7 linked regions of the Macaca fascicularis genome follow. The protein of the gene in region 3 purifies or fractionates together with the protein of the main gene of each other region. This does not show direct contact. Links are inferred from orthologs where the notes say so. Each region holds a gene or a part of one and is shown on either strand. Other genes may lie near its edges.

Region 1 (4,183 bases), on a different chromosome or scaffold from region 3:
TGAATTCATGAGAAGCCTTAATTGTGAGTTGTGTTTTAGGCTGTGTGCCAGGCACTTAGGTTAAAATGGTAAACAATCAAATGTGGTCTACACCCTCAAAAGGCCTGCAGTTTACTGGGAGAGACAAACATTGACCCAGTAATTATGCAAATCACTAGAAGCCTAGATTCAAAAGAAAAGAAAAAAAATATAGAAACCTAGATTCAAAACTTAGAATCAAGATGTACAAGGAAGTGTGATTTCAGGTCTGTCTCAATTCTAATATAAACTCTCCTGCACTCTGGGCAAGTCCTTCCCTTCCTCTGGATGTTAGTATCTTCTTCTGTAAAAATGGTGTCATACCATTTGCTTCTGAGGAAATCTCGCCCATTTGTCAGAATTCAGCCAAGGCAACATCACCTTCATGGTGCTTTCCCTGGCTCTCCAGGCTGTTCCTGGGGCTTCTGCTCTGGTCTTCTTGCCACCTGGGTGTACCTGTCTCACCACATCTCATGTTACAAGTTTTCTAAGCAAGGAGTAAGCTCATCAAGACTTTTATCCCTGTATCCCCAGTGCATTGTGGTGTCTGGCTCGTGTTTGTTAAATGGATGGATGGATGGATGGATGGCAAGTACAATTGTGGTGCAGGTTGTGCGAATATCATTATGAAACCTGAAGGGACAATTTGCTGGCTGATTGTCTCAGCTGAAATAATGGGACAGTATGAGCATTATTATATAGGTTTTGAAGCCTGAAGATTTCTAGTTCTGATTCTTTGTGGTGCTTTCTTGGGCGGATGGGCCTCTTTCTGCTTGTCTGTAGCTGCATTCGTAATTACACTACCTTACAGGGCTGTAGAGTTTTGAAAACTGCAAAATGTTATTTACAGTCAACTGAACTGAACTTAGCAGGAACCTTATCTCTCGGCGGAGGATGGAGATTAGAAGCAGGGGAAGACAATTCCACGGAAGGAGTGGTGGGTTGCGCTGGGCCTTTCCAGACGAGATGCAAAGGTCTGGGAGTCAGAAAACATTGGTTAGTAACCAATTGCAGTTTAAGCTCTGAACCTCAGTTCTTCTATTTCCAAAACGGAAATAATAACTTGAGCTTCGCGTAAGAGTATGACGTTCAAACGTGATAATGGATAGGACGGAAGGATTAGGAGTGGTACCCGGGGGCCACTACCTCGTGCAACGCCCCAGCCCGAAATCAAATCCGGGGCGTGGTCCCACTGTGCTACCGACCCCAGCCTGGGCAGGAAGCGCCGGCTGCGGGGGAAGCCAACCCAGAGACACAGCCGGAAGTGAGTGACTGGAGCTCCAGCAGCAGCCGCGATGGGCGCAGCCGTGAGCCTATGGAGAGCGGAGGCGTTCCCGCTTCCACCAATGGAAGGCCAACCTAGGCGGGCCTTTGCAAATTGCCCTAGTAACGGCCGCATGGTAACTCGGGCGCTGGGCGCACTGTCCTATCTGCTGGTTTTCCACGCTGGTTTTAGCTCCCGGCGTCCGCAAAATGAAAATTGAGGAGGTGAAGAGCACCACGAAAACGCAGCGCATCGCTTCCCACAGCCACGTGAAAGGGCTGGGGCTGGACGAGAGCGGCTTGGCCAAGCAGGCGGCCTCAGGGCTCGTGGGCCAGGAGAACGCGCGAGAGGTGTGGCCAGCGGACCAGGGAGTTGGGGGCTCCGAGCAGGGCTGCTGCGGCGAGAGAGCTGCTGAAGTCGGTGGCTCGGGTCGGGATGCGCGCGCCAGGGGTCTCCCGCCATAGTTGCCTCAGGGAAGTGAAAATAGGCCAGGGGCTCGGGGAGGGGCGCCGCCCTGGAGCTGGGTGAGGGGCCGCCCCAGGAAAACTAGTGACCACCCACTGGGGCCAGTTGACGGTTTGCTTCAACTCATGGACAAGTACTAATGGAAACCCACACAACCCCGTCCCCTTAATCCATGCTGAGCTCTATTCGCGACACTTATTTCCCGGGATACAGCGGGAGATAAGATAGGAGGTTACATTTTAGTGTAGTGAGAGACGATAAACGTGTACATCAATAAACAAAAATGATTATCTTGGTGGGGTTAGTTACTGCAGAACTTTGTCGGCCACGGTAAGGAAATTGGATTTTATTGTGAACGCACTGGCAGGCCGTGGGACGGTTTAAAGTAGGGAATTGACTAAACTTTAAAAGCTCGTTTTGGTTCCCAGGACCCGGGAGCTGAGGGAGAGAAGTGGGAATTAGGGAGAAGAGCAATCTGGTTTATTTATCCCTCCAAGCATCCTTTTTGACCATTCCAATTAAATCTCCTTTTTCTGAGTGCTAGTGATGCCAAGTACTTTCACATACATTATTGGTTTTTGGCAGGTGAAAATATTGAGTTGGGGAGAGGGCACTTCACCATATACTTGACACTCGTTTTAGTAATGGTAAAGCGGGGATTTGCGCTCACATGTATTTCTGACTCCCAAATCAGTGCTCTATGATGACATAGCCACTCTCTCTGCCTGCTGTTGTCTGAGGTCACAGCCATGCCCCTTGGCCTTTGCAGAGCCTTAGCTTGTACAAAAATCTTCACTTAATACAAAGTTAAGCTACTGCCTCTTAGCCTGATTTTTCTAAATAGAAAGGGCTCAAAAGAAAAACCTCGGGTTTCCATTTTGAGCATCATCTTTCCAAAAAGGAAGTGTTTGACCCTGTCTTACTAAGCAGCTATTACTGCAAGTAGCTAACATTGGTTGAGTGCTTTCCATGTGCCAAGCACTGTGCTAAGTAGCTGTGTGTCCATTGCCTTGTCATATCCAACGAATTAGTTGTCCCTTCCCTGCGTTAGTATGACAGTTTTCAGACATACAAAAAAAGTTGAAAGACTTGTATAGTAAGTACCTGTGTACCTAAATTCTATGATTAACATTTTACTATGCTGCTTTATCATATATCTTTCCATGTGTGCCTCTCCCAATCCACTTTTACATTTCAAGGTGAATTGCAGGCATCACTACACTTCACCCCTACACCCTTTAACATGTGTGCCATTGACTAGTATGAACTCTGTTCAAGTGAGGAAATTCTGGTTCATAGAGGTCAAGTAAGTAGGTCCAAGGTTACTCATCTGGTAAGTGGGAGAGTATTTTAACTCAAGTCTATGTATTTAATCCCAGAGTCCATGCTCTTAACTGATGTTGTATGCTTAAGACCCACCTCAGCTACCAGGTTCTTGTGTGATTCTGGTCACATCAGTAACCTGAAAAATGAGAGTTAGACTAGGTGATCATTTAAAGACCCTTCCAATTCTTTTTAAATGTTAGAATTCAAGCTTATCTCACCTGAGAGAAGTTGGAGTGGAAACTGAGGGAGAATAGATGGAAGAGGTCCTGGTCTGTAAATAAAAGCACATATCCAAGGTTTGTAAAGTCTCTTCTACCTTGAGTTTTCCAAAGAGCTTCAGTGCTGAGGATTATATGACAAGGTTGTATGGAAAGATCATAGTAGGTTTTTTTGTTTTTGTTTTTGTTTTTGTTTGAGATGAAGTTTCGCTCTTGTTGCCCAGGCTGGAGTGCAATGGTGCGATCTCGGCTCACTGCCACCTCTGCCTCCCGGGTTCAAGTGATTCTCCTGCTTCAGCCTCGTGAGTAGCCATGATTACAGGCGCCCACCACCATGCTCGGCTAATTTTTGTATATTTAGTAGAGACAGGGTTTCACCTTGTTGACCAGGCTGGTCTTGAACTCCTGACCTCAGGTGATCCACCCGCCTCGGCCTCCAAAAGTGCTGGGATTACAGGCATGAGCCACCGCGCCTGGCTAGGCTTTTTATCTGTTTAGAAATATAGCATCTGGGCTGGGCGCAGTGGCTCACACCTGTAATCCCAGCACTTTGGGAGGCCAAGGCAAGTGGATCACCTGAGGTCAGGAGTTCGAGACCAGCCTGGCCATCATAACAAAATCCTGTCTCTACTAAAAATACAAAAATTAGCCAGGTATGGTGGCATGTGCCTGTAGTCTGAGCTACTCGTGAGGCTGAGGCAGGAGACTCACTTGATCCTGGGAGGCGGAGGTTGCAGTGAGCTGAGATTGCGCCATTGCACTGCAGCCTGGGTGACAGTGAGACTCCATCTGAAAAAGTAGCATCTGAAGAATATCTTCTAGGTTCTATTAAGGGCAGTGTGCTTTGGTAACTGAAGTGGAAATGGGATGGATATAGCATACACACACATAT
Region 2 (4,241 bases), on a different chromosome or scaffold from region 3:
AAACGTTTCCATGCCCACCCCCAACAGAGACCCAATGTCTTCTCCATGCCCCGGTCCTTCCAGGCCTAAAAGCTCCACTTCTGGGGCTCCATCCCCTGGTGGCTACAAGGACAAAGAATCTGACATCCTGAAAGCCAAAGACCTAAGGGGAATCAAACAAGAAACCTCAGAGAGGAACACAAAGTAGCGCAGTTGGGGGTGTTTACACAGCAAGCAGAGTCCAGGCAGTGAGGCCACAGGACACCTGACAGGCACCTCCAAAGAAGATCTTCATGGGAGCAAACACTCAGGGACCAAGGCAAGTCCAAAGTGGCTGTGGAGAAGGCCCCTGGCTTCTGGCCGTCAGCACAGCCAAGGCCCCAATACACAACTAAAGGCTTTTATTGGGAAAGGGAAATTGACTGAAAAATGGCCTCCAATTTCCTCACTGCCTGAGACACTTGGTGCCTTCTCCACAAAGTCCAGGAAAGAATGACCCACCAAACTGGGCCCCCAGCAGGCTCAGGTGTAGAGCTCAAAGTCAATGCGTTTGGAGTTGTAGAACTGACCACCAGGGGGGTCCAGCTTCCGGCAATAAACACCGTCCGGGAAGTAGCCTTCACTCACCCAGGTCTGCAAGGAGAGGGCAGAGCTGGGGAAGGACTGACAGGAGTAGGGGAAGCAGGGACAAGCCAGAAGGAGGGAGAAAGCAGCTCACCTGCATCTGGGCGCTGGTGAAGGGCCCATACAGCTCGGCATCCCCCGTGTTCTCCCACTTATATTCCCACATCACATCCACCAGACCATCTCCTGGCGACTCTGCTTCTAAAATAACAGGCAAAGCCATTTGACCTCCGGTGTCTCACTTCCCGCCCACTGCCCCCTCCTCTGTCCTCCAAGCTTACCTCCTCTCTGGGTAGGGGTTGGGGTCTCCAGTTCCTCCTCTGCCACTTCCTCAGCGAACATGTCCAGGGAGGGTGGGGGTGTGGGATTGTGGGGTCCCACGGTCTGACACCCCAAACCCTTCAGCCGCATAGCCAACCGTTCCCTTGTTTCCTGGTACACGCCAAGGTTGCCCCGGGCCACCATCTGGTCGGCCAACCCGGAGAGCCGGTCCAGGCGCTGAGGGGAACTGGGACGCCCAGGCCCCTTGCTGCTCCCTTTGCCTCCTCCTCGGGCCCCTAGACGCCTCAGTGCCCCAGCCACTGTCTCTCTAGGCAACAGAAGCTCCAAAAGTCCCTCCAAGAGGGCTTGGGCACTCATTGGGGTCTGGCCCAAGCTGTCTTCCTCCTCCGAGTCTGAGGCCTGGTGCTGGCCAGGTGGCCGCTCCCGGATCTTCACCTGTCATGGAAAGATGCAGTGATTTCCCACGAACTGCCATGGGAGCAGGCCTAGCATCCGCCACTCCCCGGCCCCAGCCACACCAGCCCCTGGGCCTCACCCAGTCAATGTTGTCCAGCCAGCTGTCTCGGATCTGAGCATCCCGGTTCAGGAAGTAGTTGCCATCAGCATCAAAGTGTCCTTCCTCCATCTCCTCCTGCAGGTTAAAGGGTGTGATCCGAACACCCCCCTCGCTGGGGAGTGTGGCTGCCTCCTGACCTGTACCAAAGACACAGGTGCCCTTTTCTAGGCATGGAAAAGAGAGACTGGAGCCTCCCTCACTCCACACCACCAGAGGCCCCTACTTGTTTCTCCAGCAGAGTGTATTCTTGGGTACAGCTCACCTTCTACATCCTCTGAGGCCAGGATGTCGTATTTGCTGGACCCCCCATCATCATCATCCTCCTCATCGCTATCCAAAGAGTGTTTGCCTTTGAAGCGGCTCCCAGGACCCCCTGACCCAGCCACAGGGTCCACCAGCTGTGAGCAGGAGTCAAGTCAAGAAATGCAGGTTACTGGCTACCTCCCCAAATACTTCCGGATCTGGACCCAAATATTCCCCAAATATTTCAGGATCTCGACTACTTCCCCAAATATTTTAGGACCCACACTGAAGATGCTCCCAACCCATTCTTCAGAGAACCTGAAAAAACTAGGCTTTTCTCTGCCTGCCCGCCCCGCCCCACTCCCGCCAGCTTTCTTTCTCCTCAGGCTTCTAGCTCCTCTCTTTCCCCCACACAAAGGAGTCTGGCCCCCTCACCTTCTTCTTGGGGACACTGATTTCATCCTCATCTTCCTCATCTCCCACGCCTTGGAAGGTCACTTTCCTCTTTGGCATGACGGGGCAGAGAGGTGTTTCTCAAGCTGAGGAAAGGATACAGAGAAAGAGAATGGGGTGAGGAGGGGACTCGCCACCAGAGGACCCAGCACAGCAAATATTTTTCCTGGTCTGTGACAGGTACAGTTTGGGAGCGGAGGGAGCACAAAAGCAAGGGCTGAAGAGAAGCTGGCAGCCAGGAGGCCTGCAGGACTTGGGTCTAGCATCCGCGAGTTAAATGGGGTGGGGACGGAGGAGCGGACCCTCTGGATCCCCTGACCCTGGCCAACAGGGAACAGACTTCACCACGTGACCGCTCCCAACTCCAGCCCCCGCAGTCTGGGCGCCACCGGCTCGACCGGCTGACCCCCGCCTCCTACTCTGGCTCTCTCGGAGCTCGCGGGGCCCGGGCAGACCCAGGACCTGGCGCTCTCGCCACCCCGTTCCTCCCTGCTCCGAACTCCCAATTCCGTGTGGTGAGCCCCAACTGTCCCGGGCTGTGTACAAATTAGAGGGCCACGGGGATCCGGGCTGTCCCACCCTCGCGCGCTCACCTGGGACTCCGCGGGAGGCGAGGTGGCGAAAAGAAGAGATGCTTGCGCCAAGGCTACATCCGGGGCACCCGGCCGCCATCACCCGGAAGAGGACTGTGGAAGGCGCCTGGGAAGCCCGGAAGTGGCTTCACTCGGGTTAGGGAACTAACTGGAAGAGCGGGCGGAAGTACGCGGTGAGCGAGGGAAGACGCCTCCACCCTCTCTCCCGCAAGAAGTGACGTCAGTCGCGTGGGAGGACAATGGCGAGAAGAGGGGACCTGTGAATGCCTACACTCTGACCGGGCGTGAGAAATGGCCGGAAGTACCTTCGATTCCCTCATTCAAGCAGTAGAGGCTCTGGAGAAAAACGAGAGCATCTACTTAAAGGGTCGCCCAGGGTCAGGATGGAGGGGCAAAGTCCGAGCAGGGCCAGTGGGTCGCTGCCCCGTTTTCCTGTGCTGGGTTCGAGTCACCCTTCCACCAGGGCTGAGGGCTCAGCGCCCCTACCGTCTCGTTAGAAATCCTGCCTTCCCACTCCTGTGGTCCGGTGGTAAGCTCTCCTATCTGAGAGGTGGAGCCTTGCCCTCCCCGAGGGGAAGCCTGGCTCTCCCGATGGCCAGCCCGGGGCCCCTGGACGGCTCTCGGGGCACTTTCTGGACACAGCTCCCTTTAGGACCCAGGGGAAGTCATTTGTCCCACGCCCATACCCTGGGCGAGTTCCTGGCTTCTGAGGTGGGAGAGCCATCACTGGAGAGGTGGCATTGGCACCAGTACCCAGGCCAGAAGTCCCTGTGCCCTGCTCTCAGATAGGCCTGGAAAAGGGCAACAGTGCCTCTCTGTAGCATGAAGCCCCTCTGAGCAAACAGGGCCTAGCACCACGGCCTGGAAAAGGGCAACAGTGCCTCTCTGTAGCATGAAGCTCCTCTGAGCAAACAGGGCCTAGCAACTCGTGCCCAGGTAACAGAATGTGGCCCAAGCAGAAGCGGGACTGGGGGAGGTGGCGGGGGGTCAGCCCCTGTACTGGAACCTCTAGCTCTTGAGGACACTCGGAGCCTGCATCCCCCTAAGCAAAGACTGCCCAGGCGGCACCTGCTGGAGCCAGACGAGGACAGTGTGAGAGTTCCCCTACTCTTCCCCAAGGCAACTAGATGGGCCACTTCTCTCTCCCTAGGGATTTCCTCCCATATTGGATCACGATGGAACTGCACAGAAAGTCCATGCTCAGTTTCTTCCATGGTTACAGAACACAGGCCCCAGACCAGGAAGGCATGTTGCTAAAGAAGGGGACCCGAAACCTCAGCTACCAGCACCGATGGTTCATCCTCCAAGGAAACCTCTTCTACCTAGAACACCAGACCGATCATGCACCCCTGGGCCTCATCCCGTTGGAGAACTGCCAGGTGGAGCTACACCTTAAGAACCCTATGCCTTTACCATCCTGACTCCTGGGGTGGGCGGGCCTACAAGCTGGCTGCAGAAACCCAGGAAAACCTGGAGACTTGGCTGTGGGCACTGGCTGGTGTGAGCTGGAG
Region 3 (4,160 bases):
AGTAAAAGAGACGCCACGGTCGTTCTCGCCCCAGCCCTGCACGTCCTTGTCAGGGTCAGACCAGAGCAGGTCACACAGCAGGCCCTGGTCAGGCACGTCTGTGGGCCGCATGATCCGCCGAATCTGCTCCATGGACTGCAGGTCCGGGGAGAGGCCTGGAGGGCCAGAAGGAAGGTCACTTCCTCAAACAAGGACATCCTTCCTCCAGGAAGCCTTGGCCAGTGAGCCTCACTTTTCCACCACCCTCCTGGTCCCTCCACTGGTCTCCTGGGTGCCCAGGCAGGCAGAAGCCATCCCCTTCCCCTCAGCTTTTTCAAGTTCCCAAACAGGCACAAAGGCGCCCCTGGCCTCCGGAGCACAGAGCTCCTGGGAGAAAGGAGACAAGCCCGCCCCATGTAGAATGCACATCAAGGAAGTGAGTGCAGCCCAGCACAGGGGGGTATGGGAGACACTTCCTGAAAGGAGTGACTTCCCAGATGACAACTAAGGAGAGCTCACCTCCGTGGCAGCAAAAGATCTTTTCGTCCACTATGGCCGCAATGGGCAGGCAGTTGAAGCAGTCAGTGAACGTTTTCCACAGTTTGATGTTGTAGCGTCTCTTGCCTGCCCAGAGGGAGGTAGCTGTGAGGGGTCTGCCTGCTCCACCCTTAGCCGGGGTCTCTGGGCTATTCAGCCGCAGATGGGAGAGAGTCAGGCACCAATGCAAACCACCCCCACCCCTGCCGCCTGTCAGCCTTCCAGGAGTAATTCTAGTTACTTTTTATTTTAATTTGTAATTTAAACAAACAGGATCTGGGCAGGGCATGGTGGCTCACACCTGTAATCCCAGCACTTTGGGAGGCTGAAGCAGGCAGATCACCTGAGGTCAGAAGTTCAAGACCAGCCTGACCAACATGGAGAAACCCTGTCTCTACTAAAATACAAAAAAATTAGCCAGGCGTGGTGTCGCATGCCTGTAATCCCAGCTACTCGGGAGGCTGAGGCAGGAGAATCGCTTGAACCCGGGAGATGGAGGTTGTGGTGAACTGAGATCACACCACTGCACTCCAGCCTGGGCAACAAGAGCGAAACTCCGTCTCAAAAAAGTAAAGAAACAGGGTCTTGTTCAGTCACCCAGGCTGGAGTGCATTGGCAAGATCATAGCTCACTGTAACTTGGAGCTTCTGAGTCCAAGTGATCTTCCCGCCTCAGCCTCCCACCAGAAGTAATTCTAAAGCACCCGAGTCCACTGGAAACTGAGTTCCAATCTGGACCAGCCTCAGGGTTGGCACTCCTTGCACGCCCCGGCCCACGAGCCGGGCCAAGTACAGGTCTGGTTTATCTCAGCTTCTGGACAGCAGAGCTCATCTGCAAACATCCTAAATGCTTAGTAGCAAATGTAGAGGGAACGTCACCAGGCAGGGCCCTGGGGGAAAGCACTAGAATACGGACAGTCCTTCAGTCAGCAACCATTCCCCAGACCCCATGCCAGGAGGGGCAGGGCAGGCACAAGAACGGACCTGGGCCCTGCCTTCGTGGAGTGCACAGTCTTAGCAAGTGTCTGTCAGATATCAGGCCAATGTGAAGGTCCCACTGAATGACAAGGAGTGTGGTTCAGGACCCGGGCAGCCCCAGACGCTCAGACCACTCACACTCATCGTAGAAACCGTAGATGCGGTTGATGCTGGCGCACTCGTGGTTCCCACGGAGCAGGAAGAAGTTCTCGGGGTACTTGATCTTATAGGCCAGCAGCAGGCAGATGGTCTCCAAGGACTGCTTGCCCCTGTCCACATAGTCCCCCAGAAAGAGGTAGTTGCTCTCCGGAGGGAAACCGCCATACTCAAATAGTCGCAGAAGGTCATAGTACTGGCCGTGTATATCACCTGTGACCCAGGGAATCGGGTAAGCTAGATGCAGGGTCTAGACCTGAACCCAGGACCAGGACTGGGCTCAAGGGAGGAGGACTCCAGGAACTCTGTGGGGGCCAGTGCCACTTTCAGGAAAGCAAGGGGACCTGGGTCGGGGGGCTCACCGCAGATCTTGAGGGGTGCCTCCAGCTCCAGAAGAATGGGCTGGCTCAGGAAAATCTCCCGGGATTTCAGGCACAGGCCGCGGATCTCGTTCTCTGTCAGCTGTACATTCTTGCCAGGCCGCGAGCCCTGCACTGGGGGCGCAATGGGGTGTCAAGACCCGGGACCCTGACAGGAGGAGGGTGGGCGACACGGGTGGCCCCATGGATACCTCCGGGGGCGCCTAGGCCTCCTCGGCTGCTCCTTGCCCGCAGGCAGCTGTTGCTGCTGAGCCTCCCGGGACCTCGGCCTCAAGCCTCCCAAGGGAAGCCCCCAACTACCCTCAGCGCCTCGGGAGGCGACTGTCGTGCGCAGGGGGCTGCCACCCAAACACCTCACAGCGCAGGACCCCTTCCTGGACCGGGCTTCCCGGGTTTCTCCCTCGCCTCAAGAACCCAGGCAACCCGTGCGCCCCCGGCCCGGGAGAGGGGGCTGCTCCGCGCGTCGGAGCGGGCCCAGGACCTCTCAGGCGCGTCCGCGGGGGGGCGGCTGCGGCCACCGAACCTCGCGGCCCGTCCCCGCCCAGTCTAAGCTGGCCCCGGGGGCCCGCCCGCGCGCCACTTCCGGGCCCGGCAGGGGGCCCGGGAGCGGCGGACGCAGGCCTCCCCCGCCGCGACCAACCTTCTAGCAGGCGCCCGATGATCGAGTCAAGGTTGAGCTTCTCGCTATCGGACATGGCGGCGCCGCCGCTCCAGCCCAGCAGCTCCGGGCCCGCTCCTGCCTCCCGCCCTCCGGCAGCCTCCTTCCGGCCTGGCTCTCCTTCCGCCCGCCCCAGTCCGCCCCCGGCCCGCGGCCCCGCCTCCGGGCCTCCCGGGCCCGCCCCGCCCGGTCCCCCGCGCTCTAGCGCCCCCGCTGGACGTGAAGCGCCGCGGCCCGGGGGGCGGGGCCTTGGCGGCGGGCTGGGGGCGGGGTCTGTCGGGGGCGCGTCCAACTGGTTACGCCCCAGAGGAGGCGCCCAGCCCGGTTCAGAGGATGTGGGGCCGGAAGAACTGTGGAAGTTGTTTTTCTCTTTCAAAAGCAGAACAGCCGTTCCCACCCCTGCCCTGGGTGGAGGGTGTTGTGAACATATTAATAACCGGCTGCTAGGCACTGAGGGTTAACTGCTCGAAGTGCAGGAAAGGAAACTGAGGCTCAAGAGATATGAACAGACTGGTGCAAGACCTGGACCTCGCATTCACGTACGACCCCCTTTTTCGTGGGTCTCCGTGGCCCCCAGGCGGCTGACCACACTCAAAGACAGCTACGGCTGAACTTCCAGCGCACTTTGGTCCTTGGGGCATGATAAATTAATATTTTCTTACAAGTCCCATAATTAGCTTTTATTTATTTATTTTTTTTGAGACAGAGTTTTGCTTTGTCGCCTAAGCTGGAGTGCAGTGGCGCGACTTTGGCTCACTGCAACATTCGCTTCCCAGGTTCAAGGGGTTCTCCTGCCTCAGCCTCTGGAGTAGCTGGGATTGCAGGCGCGCGCCACTGCGCCTGGTTTTTGTGTGTTTAGCAGAGGTGGGGTTTCGCCATATTGGCCCGGCTGGTCTTGAACTCCTAACCTCAAGTGATCCACTGGCCTCGACCTCCCAAAGTCCTGGGGGGGTTACAGGCGTGAGCCAACAAGCCTGGCCCCATAATTAGCTTTTGAGTAGCACAGTAATATTGCAGGGTGTGCACGTAAAAAGAATTACTATATGAGCAGACATGGCTGGGTGCAGTGGCTCACGCCTGTAATTCCAGCGCTTTGGGAGGCTGAGGTGGGAGGATCGTTTGAGGTCAGGAGTTCAAGACCAGCCTGGCCAACATGGTGAAACCCCATCTCTCTAAAAATACAAAAAGTTAGCTGGGCATGATGGCAGCCGCCTGTAATCTCAGCTATTGGGGAGGCTGAGGCAGGAGAATCACTTGAACCTGGGAGGCGGAGGTTGCAGTGGGCCAAGGCCCATTGCACCCCCTAGCCGAGGTGACAGTGTGAGACTCTGTCTCAAAGGAGCAGACGATAAATTAACCTTAATTCTTGTTGGAACCCTGAGTTGGGTGCTTTACATGCCAGTAACCTCAGAACTGGAGGTGGGCCTGCTGTGGCGGCTTAGGCCTGTAATTCCAGCACTTTGGGAGGCTGAG
Region 4 (4,149 bases), on a different chromosome or scaffold from region 3:
CAGCTAATTTTTGCATTTTTAGAAGAGACGGGCTTTCACCATGCTGGCCAGCCTAGTCTCCAACTCCTGACCTCGTGATGTGCCAGCCTTGGCCTCCCAAAGTGCTGGGATTACAGGCGTGACCAAACAGCTTTTTAAAAAAACTACTATAGAATTAAAATAATTGCAGAGTCTGAGGCTAGATTAAGTACAATCCCAAAAGTAAAAGTACACAGGCCTTATTACTTCAAAATACAGTTCTAGGTTCACTGATAACATATCCTAAAATTACTAACATTATTCAGATTTCACAAAGTAAGCTTCAAATAGATTGATTCCTTCAACACACAGACACACACCCCTCTAAGTATTGTGTTATCTGACAACAGAAGCCAAGGAATCAAAATTATTGAGTGTTTATTACCACCTCACATACAGTTTATTACAAATGAGATATTGAAAACCAGAAAGTTCTTATTGATCTTTTGTCCTTTGTGAGCCAGCTTTTTCCTGTTTAGAATCGGAGCTGAGTCTCATGACCCTTGTGTTATACTTTAATACCACAAAGAACAGATACCATTTAAAAATCAGTGATGAATTAAATTACAAAGGAGGAAAATGTAATAAAATGCAACTTTCACAAATGTTACGTGTAAGCTACGCATAAGAATTTTTAAGGCTGAGGAATTTGTTCTCAGGCACAGGGCAAAACCTGTAGCCAAAATCAACAGGACTAATAATTTAAGACGTCAATTTTATCAGTTAAGCTAACATCAAATTTGAGTACTTTAGTGTGATATTTTCATTCTGCTAAGAAGAAAACGCCCCGGATTTTATGTAAAATATTCAGTCCCCTAAATAAAAAGTTATCTCCTTAAAAGAGAAGCTAGATTTCCTGTTGCATGTCAAGGCAGAGGGCACCACACTTCACCCATCCGAGGCTGGACTTGAGTAGGGGTGCAGGTGTTGGCAATTCATCAGTCACACAAGCTATGTGGTCTTGCAGAGGTGAATAGAGATTTTTTAACAAGGGCTTTCGAATTCTTTGAAGAAAACACTGAGACAATTTTGCTGGGGAGGAAATGCTCCATCTTCCACGTGGAAACAAACTCATAAATTCTGACTGTAGGTTGGTGTTCAGCACAACTTGGAATAACCTAACTTTTCACATAGAACACAACCCCCAAGCTGCAAGATACGGTCTCCGCGAATGGCACCAAGCACCACCTTTTCAAGCCCTCACCAGCACTGGAAGTGGGTTGGACACCCCCAAACCATCACCACCCCCCCAACAGGAAGTGAGGGTGTCCCCCCTCCCCCAGGACGGCCTTCCTCCCCTCCCCCAACCGGAAGTTGAGGCGCCCCCATTCAGCCGGCCTCCAACCAAGACAAACCAATACCACCACCACCAAAAGAGGGGTGATCTTCAAGGGGTGAAAGGCAGCTCGACTGGGGCCACCCCCAAGCTCGCCTTGCTTACTGACCTGCTGACGACAGGGGCAGGAAGGGGCCTGGGGCCTAAAGAAAGTCCCTTGCACAGAGGACAATTCCCTCAGCCCCTCTCAATCGCCTTCACTTCACGCACTCGTCGTCTCACAGCTGGACAAAAATTCTTCCGCAGCACTTTATTTTGGTGTCCTTTCCTTTTCTTTACCTAATCTCTTAACCACCTTTCCACAGGTAACTCCTCTTACCGCACAGCATTTACAATTGCTCCGGTGAGGAGAAAAATGAAATATTTTCCACGGTCCCTTCAGAAAAATGAAGGGATTATTTTGCCCCAATGCGGCGAAGGACTACGCGGTTACGCAAGGTGAGCCTTATTTTCGTGGAGGTTTCTGGGAGATGTAGTTTTTTTTTTATTGCCACGGCCCGCAGAAAGTAGAGGAACTGAAATTGGTCATGACTATATATTAGCGTCCTCGAAAACATATTCTGTATTCGATGACGGCTGACCTAGCGGGCTCCGACGCCCAGATGGGCCCAGACTTCCCTGATCTTTTCCTATGCGGCTTAATCGAACCCAAATTTTCGCTCTCGCGGGCCCAAGGTCTCGGCAGCCCCGCCCCTTGTCTTGGCCCCGCCCTCCACAGCCAATCAGGCGCCCTTTAGGTCTCGTCCTCTGGAGCTTGGAACGCAGAGAGGAGGGGCCTGGCGGCGACTCCTCCCGCTGGGCTGAGGGAGACCTGGGAGACAACTGGAGCTTGTGCGCGCGCGCGCGCGTGCTCACGGCTCCAGGAGCGCGGCGAGCGGGCGAGGGCGCGCGCGGAGGGGCGGCGCGCGGGGCCGAGAGGAGGCGGGCAGGCTGGTGGGCTGGGCGGGCGACGAGCGGCCGGGAGCGCGCGGTGGACTCGGCCGCGGCGAGTAGTTAGTTAGTTGTTCTTAGTGTCAGTTGCTCGGCGGCGGCGGCCGTGGTCACCAGGAAAGGGACGGGACGGACGGCGATGGTGGTCGCCGCGGCGTCGTGTGCGCCCCTCAGGTAACAGCGGCCAGGCTGTCTGTGTCCCCTCGGTTGCCTTTTACTCACGCGCCGGCTGTGGGACCAGGGTTGCCGCGGGTTGAGGGCGCTGACCCGGGGGAATCCGGGCGGGGCGGGGCGGCGCGGGTTCTGGGTGGCGCCGCTGCCGGGGCTCTGGCGGCCAGTGCGTCCAGCCCGGCGCGGGCTCTCGCTCTCCGGCCACCCCCGCGCCCCGCTGGTGCCGCGCGCCCCCCGCCTCCCCTGCCCCCTCCCTCGGCGGCGGCCCCGGGAGCGCGGCGCCCCCCAGAGGAAGGAAAGTTGGGACCCGCCGCGAGGGACGCCCCCCGGCGCGGCAGGGAGGCTGCGGGGGAAAGTGAAGCCTGGAGGAGCTGGACGCAGGGAGGCCAGGGTAGGAAGGACTTCTCTGGCTCCTGCCGGGTCCACACGGTCAGTCCGCTCCCACACCCGGGAGCATCGGTGCAGCCTCGCCGGCAGCGCCGGGTGGCCCCCTGCCTGCTCCCCTCGCGCCGCGGCTGGGGAGCTTGCGAATGTGTGGGCTGGCGGGGTCGTTTGGGGGTTGTGAGTGGTTCGGCTGCTCAGTTTTTTTCTTCTCTGCCCTTTGACTCATCCGTTCTTGCAACTTTTCTTTCCTCCCTCGATGGGGACTTGCCGTCTGAACCGCGTCTGTCCCCTTCCCCCTCGTCGTATGCACCATCGGTCTGGGAGCTTGATTTCATTTTTTCCTCCTTTGGCTGCGTTCAAGATTGCTGAGAGCACCGGGAGCGACCCTCCTACCCCGCCTGCCTCTGGCCTGTTAAATGTTACTTTTTGCAATTCGTTGTTTTTTAAAGATCCAAGTTCAGGAATTTGAGAGCTGTGGAATGGAGTTATTGGAAGGCTGGCGTTGAGGGGGTAGTGATGAGCTAGAGGAAAACTATGATTTCATCTTTATTGGCCTTGCTATAGAAAACCTAATTCATTTTTTTTTTCTGCCTCTATTGAGTGTGGTAAGATCATACGTTGAATTAAATACTTAGAGACTTACATAAAAGACTATTTTTAGGTCATTGGATGATGTACGAGAACAGCTTTTCACCTGAACTGGGATTGCCTTGAGGATTCTGTTTTGGGGCCTACCTACTGATTTTTGTTCAGCCACAGCGTCGTCTTTTCCCGATAAATGAAGTGATGTAGTGATGTGTGTAGTCAGAGAACCCATACTGCTCTCTGCAGTATGGAAGTGAAAAACGTGAATTATCCACAGGGGTAAAACTTTCCATGAGCAATCTTGAATACTCACTTCATGATGGCTTCTCCTGTAATCTCAGAGCATTTCTAGATAGCTCAATTCACTGGCTACCCTAATTACTTTCTGACTTGCCTGGGACTTCTCTTTGGTGACTTGTTTAGTAAACTATAATGGCAGATATGGTACATTTTCTTGGCTTCAAAGTTGAGGGTTGTAGCCTCAGCCCAGAGATGAACAATGGAAGTAGAATTCATAGCACTGCTAGTGAATTTTGGATATGACCAACTCACAAACTATGTGAAAAAACAAACATCCCCTTTTCATTGCTGTCAGGGAGGAAAGGGGGAATATTTTATTATGTCTTTGTTTTGGATTCTCTAACATGACTGTATTATGTGGGGAAAATGTCAAATTATTTTCTTTAAGGCTTTTTAATGTGTGTTCCTTCTCTTCCCTCACTACC
Region 5 (2,472 bases), on a different chromosome or scaffold from region 3:
GGCCGAGACGGGTGGATCACGAGGTCAGGAGATCGAGACCATCCTGGCTAACATGGTGAAACCCCGTCTCTACTAAAAAATACAAAAAACTAGCCGGGCGAGGTGGCGGGCGCCTGTAGTCCCAGCTACTCGGGAGGCTGAGACAGGAGAATGGCGTAAATCCGGGAGGCGGAGCTTGCAGTGAGCTGAGATCCGGCCACTGCACTCCAGCCTGGGCGACAGAGTGAGACTCCTTCCAAAAAAAAAAAAAAAAAAAAAAGAAAGAAAAAACGTTAAGAACTGGCCATGACAGCCTGTGTTTCTATGTAACTATGAGCCAGAGCCAAGAAGCAGGGGGACCAGGAGAGGTGTGCCCCTGCCATGCTGCCATTTGTTGTCACCTGCCTATCACAGGTTCATTTCAAGGCAAGAACCATGTTCATAGGTGGTATTCTAAATGGAGCGGCGTACCCTCACTGAAGGACTAGATGAGGTAAATAAAGACTAGTTGCTGCTATTCATTCATTCAGCTAACATTTATTGAGCCCTTAATGAACACAAGAGTTTTGACTTCATGACAGTTCATACTGGGACCTCAGACCACTGAAGGCAGACAGTAACGAGCAGTGCTGGCCAGGCCCCACTTTCAGAGGGGGTGGAAGGTCACTCTTGACACATGTCATATATGGTAAGAGGGGCACCCACTCACCCAGGCCGGGTGCAGGACTCTGCAAGGCCCTCCTGAGTAAAGAGCGGCCACAAAGGGCTGCTAGGCAGCACCCACTCTTGGAATCAAGCAGGGAAAAAGCGCAAAAATGGAGCTGGCAGGGAGGTGTGTGCCTGCCCCACAGATGGCTGTGGTGAGCCATAAAGCACCAAGATTCTGTTCTTCATTCAGCAACCACCCATGAGCCTCCTGGTTTATTCCAATCCCATGGCACCTGCCTGAAAACCTCTCTCCCTTCTGAGGGGAATGCTGGAATGAAACTCCACTCTGCCCCTCCCTCCCTCCCTCCTTGCTCAGGGTCCATGTGAACAGCAGGCCATTGTTGGGAAGTGCCTGTTGCAGTCATTCTTACACCCCCACAGCCACTGCCCCACACACCCACTGATGGCTACCAGGGCCCATCAATAGATCTTGTGTCCACTGAGCCCTGGTGTCCAGGTCCAGCAGCCAGATAGGCTGAAGGTTCCCTCCTGCCATCACAGAGTAGCCAAGCACTACAGACAAAGAGGTTTTCATGGCCAGATTCCTGACGCCTGTCCCCTTACAGGGCAGATCCTGTTCTTACAGATGTCAAGGTTGGAGGGTTCTGGGTCCTTCATGACCCTGGGGGGTTGCTGGTCCCCCATCTTGGTTCTTGAGTCTCATCCTTTTAAGATGACCTTGAGAGCTTTAAGCTCATCCTGGTTGAGGGGGTTCAAGTTAAAACCCTTCAGCTCCGGTTTGCCTAGGAGAGAAGATGATCCATCAGCATGTCAGGCCTCCTGCTGGCTCTGGAACCAGGCCCAGGAAAGGGGCTGACGCTGCACTAATGCTGCCAAACTTGGCCTGGAGGTCTGGCAGGGATGGGCCTCCAATTCTGCAATGCACCAGATGAGGCATCACCACCACTCCTGTGTCACCAAGAACCTACAAAGTCATGACTCTGCTGTCTCAGGTTTTTACAAGACCTGTGACCAATCTAGAGTGCTTGTGTTTATCAAGAATTTCAGCTCTGACCTCAATCACTCACTGAAGCCTTCTGAGTTTCCTCAGTCGGAGCTATCTGATCCCCATGCCATGCCCTGATGTATAACGTGAGATCACCCCAAGCGGTTCCTGGGACCTGGAAAAGAAGCTGTGACAGGACTAGGACTCTATAAATTCCCGTCCATTCTGTCCCTGGGCAGCTACAACCAACCACTGTGCATACCTCCAGGGCCACTCACAGGCTGCCCCGGCCACTGCCCACCTCTGAGGGTTGGGCTTCCCACCCCTGCCCTTCAAAGTCCATGCTGATGATTCTCTCCCCTCCTCGTCTCCAGTCCCTGCTAGGCCAATACCTTGGGCCTCAAAAAGGCGGTTGACCTTCACTTTAAGTTGCTTCCGGAGTTTTTCTATTTCTTTATCCAGATGATCCTGATCTGAAAAAATGAGGGGGGCAAGCAGAGGATAAGATTGTACCAGACAGACTTGACCTCAGGAGTGGAGATGCCAGCCTCTCCCCAGCAAGGGCGTGTAGCTTTCAGGAAGGAAAAGGAGACATCAGAGGCCAACTGAGGAAGGATTCAAGGCTAGAAGGGACATGACCTGCTCAGGACCACTCAGAGAGCCCAGGACACAGCAGTCCCGACTTCCATTACACTGGCCTTTTTTGCATTATGCAAAGTACCTTGAGGTGGTCAGTGGACAGAAAAGGCAACATCAGGACTTTAGGCCGCCCTCCCACAATGAAATTATGGAAAACTCCAATGCACAAACAAAGAAGCATCTCTAGATTCAGCCCACCC
Region 6 (4,039 bases), on a different chromosome or scaffold from region 3:
ACTCTATGTTTGTACTACTCTAGTCACCTGGGATATAAACCAAAGCTCCCCCTTTGTAAAACTTACATTCTAATTGGAGGAGACAATATGAGAAAGCAAGAAATTACACAGTAAATATTAGGGGGTGATAAGTGTTAGGGAAAAAAAGTAGACGGAGGGGAATCAAGCATGCCAGGGGCTGTGATTTTAAAGTTAGGTTACAGAGGGCCTCATCGAGGAAGCGACATTTAAGCGAGATGAGTGAGGAGAAAGGAAGCCATGTGGGTACTGGGGAAAAGGGCAGTGCAGGCAGAGAGAACAGCTACGGCAATTGCCCTGGGGTGGGATCATTCTTGGGGTGCTGAAAGAAGCATGTGAAGGTCAGTGTGGCAGGAACACAGTGAATGAATAGTAAAATTAGCAGGAAGTGAAATCACAGGTAACTAGTTTTCTTGTTACCAACTCTAACAGGCTGAGACCTCATGGATCTGGTCATAATTGTATTTATGTATAACAGTATAGTCCTTCTAGATTTTAAGCCTTCAAGGAACTCTTCTGTCTTGTTCACTGCTGCATTCCCACTGCTAAGCACAGTGCCTGGCATACAGAAGATTCCCAATAAATGTCTGCATGAATGAACGATACAAAGATCATTTTTTGAATGCTTATTATGTGCTATACATGGGCTTTGCAACCACATTTCTTCAGCCCCAGCTCTGAGGAGGAGGGGAGATGAGTCCTTAAGTATCATTCTAGGCAGCCATGGGGAAAGGGAGAAGAGTGTTGGAAATGGTGGTATTTTTACACACTATCCTCATGGAATGGACTTACTCTGTGAGGAGAGAGCTCTTACGATCAATGAACTTGAGAGCTTCTGCCAGTGTCAACTCCAGGAAAAAACCATATCCCAGGGCCACATAGATGCGTGAAGTATCTGGGCTGAGGAAAGAGAGGTTAGAGGAAGTGCGGGGGAAGTCCTTATCACTGTTTAGCAGAGTGTATGTTTTGCTCCCCACCCTTCCCCAAATTGAGGCTCTGGGAAGGCAGGGATTTTGTCCTATTTTATTCACTGTCACATCCCCAGCGCCTAGCTTATATCCTACTGGGATAATAAACCTTGTATAGTGCCTGGTACATAGAAGATACTCAAAAAAATATATGTTGCATGAGGGAAGGGGTAAGCTGAACCCTGTGGGCTCAGAGGGGCGGGTAGACACTCACACCACTGTGTCAACGAAGAAGTTACAGCCCAAATCCACCTGCATGTATAACTCCGAGTGCTTAGCTTCCTGTGGGGCCAGGGAAAAAGAGGTAGGGGTCAGTGGTGAACTCTTAGGTCAGGTGACAGGTTTGGCTCTGGAGTCTCTCTTCCCATTTCCCTCCCTTACCCACACACACCAAAAAAATGATACCCAACCCCATAGTCTTTACCTGGAGTCGCTCAATGACATTTCTCAGTTGAAGGTATTTGGCCAGCTGCTCATATACCTTGTCTCGATGGTCCAGCACCTTTCTGATGGGATGAAAGTACAATGGTGACCAATAGGCAGCCCCATTCCTCCTAGTATACCTCATATCATGACCCTCTGAGACTCTCACGTCACCATACGCTGAAAAGGCTTTTTAGTGTACAAGTTAATTTTGGGCTCTGGGTCAGACTGCCTGGGTTTGGATCTGGGCTCTGTCCTTTATAGATGTGTGGCTTTGGCAAGTAAGGAACCTGTTTGGGACTTGGTTTCCCCATTTATAAAATGCAGATGACAGTATTACCTTGTAGAGTCATTAGGATTAAATGAGCATTTACTCAAAGCATCTAGAATAATGCCTACCAAATGGTAAACTCTCTACATGTTAGCTATTATTACTATTACTACACTCCCAATACTGAACTCCAATCATAATGTCCCATCCTCACCCTAGAAAAATCCTCCATCCCTTTTAGGATGCTCATAGTCCTAGTTCTGAACACCTTACTTCTTGCTTAGATTAACAAAAATTGCAATAATATTTCTTCATACTTAACCTCTACTATGTTTCAGGCATCCATGCTACTAAATTATTTACAAAGATGGGACATATGAAAAACTCAAAACCACTGTATGGGGAAGGTTCCAGAAAACTCCCCATTTCACAGAGAAGTTTATAGGGCACAGAAAGGCGAGGTATGACGTATTCACAAGGATGAAGAATGGCCGAGCCAGGATTCGAACCTGAGAACTGTGGCTCCAGAAAACAAGCCCTAATCCGTCAAACATCGGAGGCCGCGCATGCGCTGACACGCCCCCTGCTATGAACGCCACGTCCCAGCCAAACTGCACCCCGGATATCATCACCACTTCACGCTCCAAGGAGCGCGGGGCCGGACTCTGAACGCCTCGCCCACCAATCCAAAGGGTTGGCCCTAACTCTGAACGCCCCACCCACCACGTGGAATGTTCCAGACGCCCCGCCCTCTGCACTGTCACTCACCGCAAGTCCCGCTGCAGCACGTCACTGATGAAGGTCTCGTAGCGCAGTACTTTCTCCCCCGTGGCCTCCACCGCCCGCCGCTTAGGGGGCGTCGCCATGATGGGCTCCTGGGGAGTGGGGAGGGGGAAGACCACGTTGACCGCTCCAGTTTGGCCTCACACACAGTTCATCTCTACCCTCTCAACGCTGGGAATCGACTTGTCCGGCTCAAGCTGGGGGCTCAGCCTTCCGCCCCTCCCAACTCGGGGACCCGGCCACCCAGGGACACCGAAGCGCGGCCTTTACCTCAGGGCCGCCAGCAATAAAAACGGTTGGTAGGAACCGCGGCTTCCGGGTGGCGCGGGTGAATGACGTAAGTGGCAAGCGCGCTGGCCAACCAAATAGCCAGCTGGGGAAGACGGGCCAAAGGGGAGAAGAGAAGGGCGGGGCTTCACGGAATCCGAGGAGATCAAAGATGACTAGGGCGTGGGAGCAGGCCATCTGGCAATAAACCGGCCAATGGGGGACTGCAAAAGCGGCGCGTGGAGCCTATGGAGACCGTGCGTCGCTGGTGAGGGTGGGATTTAATGGGATTTGGCGGTTCTAAGTTAGGCGCGACGCACAGGTAGAGGTAGAGAGAGGAAGTGAAGAGTTTAATATTTAAAAGGACCTAAGAATTGACTATGGTTCTGGTCTATAAGGAAGATCCCGTGTGATCTGTCGGCTTGGATATTGATTTGTCATACGGGAGGTTTGGGTTTCACTCCTGGCAATGGGACTGAGTATGAGCACTTAAAAGGTTTTAAACAGAGACAGATTTTCTAAAATTCATCTTTGATAACTCCAGCTCTGTACCTGCAACCTATAACTGAGGCTCAAGCGGAAATTGACAACGCACTATATCTAATCACCTCGTTTGATAGTCAAATGGAGAGGGTGGCTGAAGTCCTCTGCAGAATATTGGCCATCTTGTAGTTAGGCATAGTTCCCATGTTTTTATTTAAATGGTAAGGTTTTTGTGAATTTATTCTTATGCACTAGAGTGACTGAGTGAATTTGTTTTTCAGTTTAGATTTTTTTTTTTTTAAATTATACTTTTAAGTTCCAGGGTACATGCACACAACGTGCAGGTTTGTTACATATGTATACATGTGCCATGTTGGTGTGCTGCACCCATTAACTCATTAGGTATATCTCCTAATGATATCCCTCCCCCCTCCCCCCTCCCCACAATAGGCCCCGATGTGTGATGTTACCCTTCCTGTGTCCAAGTGATCTCATTGTTCGGTTCCCACCTATGAGTGAGAACATGCAGTGTTTGGTTTTCTGTTCTTGTGATAGTTTGCTGAAAATGATGGTTTCCAGCTGCATCCATGTCCCTACAAAGGACACGAACTCATCCTTTTTTATGGCTGCATAGTATTCCATGGTGTATATGTGCCACATTTTCTTAATCCAGTCTATCACTGAAATGCCTTAAATTCAGGTTAGATTTTCAAACAAGAACTTATAACCCAGCAAGAATGGGCCTTTGCCTGGAGAAGAATCCAGACCATGGGATGAATCTCCAAATGCTATTTCCATCTATAGAGCTTAGAGCACCCACCCCTAC
Region 7 (4,081 bases), on a different chromosome or scaffold from region 3:
ACTGGTTAAAAGCTGAAATGCATCCTTTCAGTATTGATTTGACAGATGCCAACAAGCATTCAAAAATTTAGAGTTAATTTCCTGGTGACAGGTATAAAACTGATCAGACTTGTTTCAACTGTATCATAAACAAACTTCACAAATTGGAGATCTAGTCCTTCTTGGCTTTTTTTCCCCTACACCTTAATTCTAGCACCTGTTGTCAGACCACTGTTGAGCACCAAAAGAACTCAGCCCGGAGTTCTTTGGAGTTTTAAGCGATTGCCTAACTCAGCAGGGGACAGTGGTCTTGACTTACTGGTTGATAGTTTAAAAACATAAAAGAATTTAATATTTTAAAGCTGACAAACTAGAAAATGTTAGAAACTATCTGAAGGCACAAAGTATAAAGTTGGTGGGTACCTGATAAAACGTGATGTATGTAAATACAACTCAAAACAATTTAAAAGTATAAGTATTTGTCAATTATTTTTCCTCCAGTGCTCTGGCTATTGCTGAAAACACCTTCTAGTTCCACCTTGTAACTGGACTCCCAAAAGATGAATGCTGACATCTTCTGATGCTTAACAAGAAATAAAAAGTCACCTTAATCATCAAAAAGGTAATTGCAAAGGGCACTGTTGCCTGAAATTCTCTAGTCACCTGAAAACTGAAACAACTGAGGCAAGATTTCTTAAAATATTTAGGAAGGTTAAAACTTAAACAGAATGGCCTGATAATGATCAAACATGTACAGAGAAATACATGAAATCAGAATTGTGAATGCAGAGAAATAACTGTTTTGCTAGTTTAAAAGTTTGAAGCTTTTCCCTCCTCCCTAGCTGTTAATGTAGGAGACACACAGCCTAACCAAGACAGTCTCAATGCCCAGGAATGGTTGTGTGATGACTGATAAAGCAGAAATTTCTTGCCTATTAATAGTTTCCCACGGTTAGAAGGCAACAGCCACTGGCAATCAGATGCGGTCTCAGGTTTTCCTTGTCCTGGGGCAGGAATGCCTGGAGGGACCATGATGTGGGTCACACTGTACATTCTGTTTACTGTGGGCACAAACATACAACATAACTTTTTTTTTTAGCTTATTAAATCGAGAATATTCCTGAGGAGGCATCCGCTATGGGCTAACGGTCCCAACATCACAATAATAAATAACAGCTATGTTTACAGAGACACATTCAGGGCACATGCAAAAGCTTTTCCTAGCAGGAGGACTTGGGCCTTTGCAAAACAAGCTGCTTGGGCCTCCCCAGAGGGCCCACCCTCCCATGCACCTACCCCACTACCCTGCCCCAACTCATTACACAACTCGGCCTTCTGGCCACCTGAGGCTACTTTTTAGACCAAGTGTCTCAGACGTTTCAAGTAGAAGACAGGATGGGCCGCTGCCAGGGGACCTTGCCACAGAAAATTAGGTCAGAGGACTTGCAGGGTGGCGAAGAACAACCGGATAGATGTGAGAGCCCAGCAGGGAAATGACAGGAGGCGCAGCTTAGGTGTGGAGGCTCCACGTGGCTGGTCCCCACGTGACTCAGATGAAGTGGATCCAGCTCTCTTCGCACTCGCCCCGAGGCATGTGCAGCGCGTGGTTGCGACACGTGAGGCTGTAGTCTCGGCAGTCGTTGTTGTCCCAGTACTCGGCACCCGCCACTCGGTAGCGCACCGCGAAGTGCACGCGGGAGCCGAGCTCCAGCAGGAAGGGTGGCACTGGGAAGCCGAAGGTGAAGACGTCCTCCTTGCCCTCGGGGCCTGCGGGCCCGCGCCACCGCGCCACCGCCTCGTGGGTACTGCGCCAGCCCGAGAAAGTGTAGCGCACAGCCACCTGCTTCTCGAAGGCCACGTTGCACACGCGCACCGTACCGCTGATGCCAAGGTCCGAGCAAGTGACACGCTCCAGGCACACAAGCTGGCGCTGCAGGCGCTCGCCAAAGTCGGCGGCTTCGACGGGCGGCGGGAAATCGGGCACCAGGCACTGCAGGGTGAACTCCAGGTCCTGGCTGCTGCAGCACAGGTCAGAGTTGATGGCGAGCCGCGACAGCACGTGCAGCGGCACCGACGGGTCGTCTCCCGCGTTGAACACCTTGACTTGCGCCAGCTCCAAGCCCAGGGCGTCGGCGAAGCGCACGCGGAGCTGCCGGCTGCAACCCGGCCGACATGCAGCGCCTGGCGCGCCCGCGGCCTTCTGGCGGCGCTCGGGGGAGCTGGGCAGTGAGCGCGCCCGCCGCAGGATGATGGGCCGCAGGCGGGGGTCGCAGCCGGACGGCGCTGGCGCTGGCGGCGGCGCGCGGCCCGGGCTCCCCGGGGGCCTACAGGGCCGCGGCTCCAGGGCCACGCCGCCGTCCAGGTCCGACAAGCAGCTGAGGCTCCGGGGGGTTAGCTTCCGGGATCCCAGGGCGCTGGGCAGGACCGCGGAGCTCGGGCCTCTGGACATGGTCCCGCCGGCCGTCGGAAGATGGGAAGACAGGGATGAGGGACGGCCTCCCGACCCCGCGACAGCTCCCTCCGTGCTCAGAAGCCGCTGAGAGTTCTCCGTATCTGCAACCTGCGGGAGACCTCTCGGGCCCGGTACGCCCTACCCTTGGTTCGCCACCTTGCCCCTCGAGTCCTTGTCCAGGTCCTCCGCTTCTTGCAGTTAAAGAAATTGTAAGAGAGGGGGTGCTTCTTTAGTTGAAGCTTTCAGAGGCCTCCCGGGAGCGCAGGGTAGCGCCTCTGTTTTTTTTTCTTGCTTTCTTGGAGGTTCTTACAAGAAGGCTGCGTTCCGGGAGCGGCCCCTCCCACTTCCCCGGTCCGCAGCGTTACTTACAAGGCTGCAACTTGACCGGGTGCAACTTCCTAGCGAGCCTCCGCCCCGCCCCTCGTGACGCCGCCTGCAGGCGGGCCCCCGCCTGCCCCAGCTCAGCCCGGGAGCTCCGCTGAGCTGCGCGCCGCCGCCTCCAGCTCCCCTGCTGCAGCGCGCCGCAGCCGGGCCTCCCGCGCGGGCGCCGGAGAGGAAGGAAGGCTGGCAGCGTCGTCACGTGTCCGCTGCAGTCGCGAAACAGGTCTGATCAATTTCTGTTTACGTCTGCCTGGACTGCGCGCCTATCGATTATAGACTTTGCACAAACGGAGGACAAGGAAAATGCATGCTGCGTGTCCTTAGATTTCTGGGTTGTGGATGGGAGGAGTGGTGGTGCAAAAACCGGCCTTGCCGGGATATGGTCGCAGGCTAATTTTAAACATCAAGGCCAGCCCACACTTTGGACAGGTTCACTGCAACCTGGACCCTTGGCCAAACCGAGGGAGCCTCGCTGCGTAGAGGAGCAGCGTCATGTCCACATCACCCAGAATGCTTTGCCGCACCAAATGGCCAGCAGATTCCCTTGAGGGTGGGGTGGGGAGGTGCTGCTGTTGTCTTCCTGGACTCAGCGCCAGAGAGGAAGACAGGGGAACAAGAGTTATTACCCGGTGATGACTTCTGCAGCTGCCCCTAATCAGCCTCTGGCGCTTGGGAAGCATATTTGTAGGCAGAATCTCCGAAACAAATCTTTTAGCTTTGTTTCCAAGCAAGCCAGAAACACCAACAAGGCCTGGAGCTTGTTTTCTGCCTCTTTAGTACACTGCAAGCATTCGTGTCTCTCACCCGGTAGCTTTGAGCACAAGACCCCACAGCCTTTGGTGTAAAGCTTACCAGGTGAAATGAAGTGGAAAAGATGCAAGTGCACTTTCCAGAGAGCAGTTTGGGGCAAGGCATTCCATTAAGAAGGTTCCTTTTTACTGTCCAGAGGGACAAAGCAGAAAAAAACCAGACTAATGAAAGGGGGTTGATTCAAGAACATTTTCTACGTCTAAAATGAGTCAAGGCTGTTGATTGTGGTATAATTCATTAAATGTGAGAGAGTGATTTTATTTATCATTGGATGTAAGCTAACTAAAAAGGCTTACATGATTATTGTGGAAAAAATACAGGAAATTTTCAGGAAGAAAATAAAAATCTTCTGTAATCATATCTCTTATTTTACAGAGACAGGTGACATGGAAAAGAGAAGTACCCAATTTCCATTCAGTGCACTTTTAATAGGCCACTCAAAATGAGAGGGGAATAACA

The links.
Region 1: the proteins of PPP1CA (region 3) and RUVBL1 purify together in Homo sapiens (affinity purification with mass spectrometry; 4 studies listed by BioGRID and IntAct, counting the BioPlex papers as one, with this or other methods). This does not show direct contact. The link is inferred for Macaca fascicularis from reciprocal best matches to the Homo sapiens genes PPP1CA and RUVBL1.
Region 2: the proteins of PPP1CA (region 3) and CD2BP2 purify together in Homo sapiens (affinity purification with mass spectrometry; 3 studies listed by BioGRID and IntAct, with this or other methods). This does not show direct contact. The link is inferred for Macaca fascicularis from reciprocal best matches to the Homo sapiens genes PPP1CA and CD2BP2.
Region 4: the proteins of PPP1CA (region 3) and PEAK1 purify together in Homo sapiens (affinity purification with mass spectrometry; 3 studies listed by BioGRID and IntAct, counting the BioPlex papers as one, with this or other methods). This does not show direct contact. The link is inferred for Macaca fascicularis from reciprocal best matches to the Homo sapiens genes PPP1CA and PEAK1.
Region 5: the proteins of PPP1CA (region 3) and PDRG1 purify together in Homo sapiens (affinity purification with mass spectrometry; 4 studies listed by BioGRID and IntAct, counting the BioPlex papers as one, with this or other methods). This does not show direct contact. The link is inferred for Macaca fascicularis from reciprocal best matches to the Homo sapiens genes PPP1CA and PDRG1.
Region 6: the proteins of PPP1CA (region 3) and UXT purify together in Homo sapiens (affinity purification with mass spectrometry; 5 studies listed by BioGRID and IntAct, counting the BioPlex papers as one, with this or other methods). This does not show direct contact. The link is inferred for Macaca fascicularis from reciprocal best matches to the Homo sapiens genes PPP1CA and UXT.
Region 7: the proteins of PPP1CA (region 3) and PPP1R3D purify together in Homo sapiens (affinity purification with mass spectrometry; 3 studies listed by BioGRID and IntAct, counting the BioPlex papers as one, with this or other methods). This does not show direct contact. The link is inferred for Macaca fascicularis from reciprocal best matches to the Homo sapiens genes PPP1CA and PPP1R3D.

What each region holds. Positions count from the first base shown.
Region 1 is NC_088376.1:155,323,134-155,327,316, forward strand, and holds the start of RUVBL1 (ruvB-like 1), read left to right. Parts: upstream 1-1,383; 5' UTR 1,384-1,491; coding exon 1,492-1,632; intron 1,633-4,183. UniProt on the Homo sapiens protein: Possesses single-stranded DNA-stimulated ATPase and ATP-dependent DNA helicase (3' to 5') activity; hexamerization is thought to be critical for ATP hydrolysis and adjacent subunits in the ring-like structure contribute to the ATPase activity.
Region 2 is NC_088394.1:28,493,692-28,497,932, forward strand, and holds the start of CD2BP2 (CD2 antigen cytoplasmic tail-binding protein 2), read right to left. Parts: upstream 2,801-4,241; 5' UTR 2,731-2,800; intron 2,224-2,730; 5' UTR 2,198-2,223; coding exon 2,120-2,197; intron 1,840-2,119; coding exon 1,704-1,839; intron 1,579-1,703; coding exon 1,421-1,578; intron 1,321-1,420; coding exon 885-1,320; intron 805-884; coding exon 698-804; intron 632-697; coding exon of another isoform or gene 613-631; coding exon 502-612; 3' UTR 1-501. UniProt on the Homo sapiens protein: Involved in pre-mRNA splicing as component of the U5 snRNP complex that is involved in spliceosome assembly.
Region 3 is NC_088388.1:6,974,540-6,978,699, reverse strand, and holds the start of PPP1CA (serine/threonine-protein phosphatase PP1-alpha catalytic subunit), read right to left. Parts: upstream 2,801-4,160; 5' UTR 2,725-2,800; coding exon 2,670-2,724; intron 2,144-2,669; coding exon 2,012-2,143; intron 1,863-2,011; coding exon 1,632-1,862; intron 604-1,631; coding exon 499-603; intron 156-498; coding exon 1-155. UniProt on the Homo sapiens protein: Protein phosphatase that associates with over 200 regulatory proteins to form highly specific holoenzymes which dephosphorylate hundreds of biological targets.
Region 4 is NC_088381.1:54,713,149-54,717,297, reverse strand, and holds the start of PEAK1 (inactive tyrosine-protein kinase PEAK1), read left to right. Parts: upstream 1-1,349; 5' UTR 1,350-1,792; intron 1,793-2,341; exon of another isoform or gene 2,342-2,458; intron 2,459-2,767; exon of another isoform or gene 2,768-2,884; intron 2,885-4,149. UniProt on the Homo sapiens protein: Probable catalytically inactive kinase. Scaffolding protein that regulates the cytoskeleton to control cell spreading and migration by modulating focal adhesion dynamics. Acts as a scaffold for mediating EGFR signaling.
Region 5 is NC_088384.1:88,033,722-88,036,193, forward strand, and holds the end of PDRG1 (p53 and DNA damage-regulated protein 1), read right to left. Parts: intron 2,107-2,472; coding exon 2,026-2,106; intron 1,809-2,025; coding exon of another isoform or gene 1,786-1,808; exon of another isoform or gene 1,431-1,785; coding exon 1,348-1,430; 3' UTR 501-1,347; downstream 1-500. UniProt on the Homo sapiens protein: May play a role in chaperone-mediated protein folding.
Region 6 is NC_088395.1:47,757,226-47,761,264, forward strand, and holds the start of UXT (protein UXT), read right to left. Parts: upstream 2,801-4,039; 5' UTR 2,759-2,800; coding exon of another isoform or gene 2,547-2,758; coding exon 2,449-2,546; exon of another isoform or gene 2,440-2,448; intron 1,493-2,439; coding exon 1,411-1,492; intron 1,269-1,410; coding exon 1,201-1,268; intron 919-1,200; coding exon 811-918; intron 577-810; exon of another isoform or gene 439-576; intron 1-438. Other genes in the region: uncharacterized protein, read left to right, coding at 2,545-2,758. UniProt on the Homo sapiens protein: Involved in gene transcription regulation. Acts in concert with the corepressor URI1 to regulate androgen receptor AR-mediated transcription. Together with URI1, associates with chromatin to the NKX3-1 promoter region.
Region 7 is NC_088384.1:115,990,406-115,994,486, forward strand, and holds the start of PPP1R3D (protein phosphatase 1 regulatory subunit 3D), read right to left. Parts: upstream 2,801-4,081; 5' UTR 2,429-2,800; coding exon 1,529-2,428; 3' UTR 1-1,528. UniProt on the Homo sapiens protein: Seems to act as a glycogen-targeting subunit for PP1. PP1 is essential for cell division, and participates in the regulation of glycogen metabolism, muscle contractility and protein synthesis.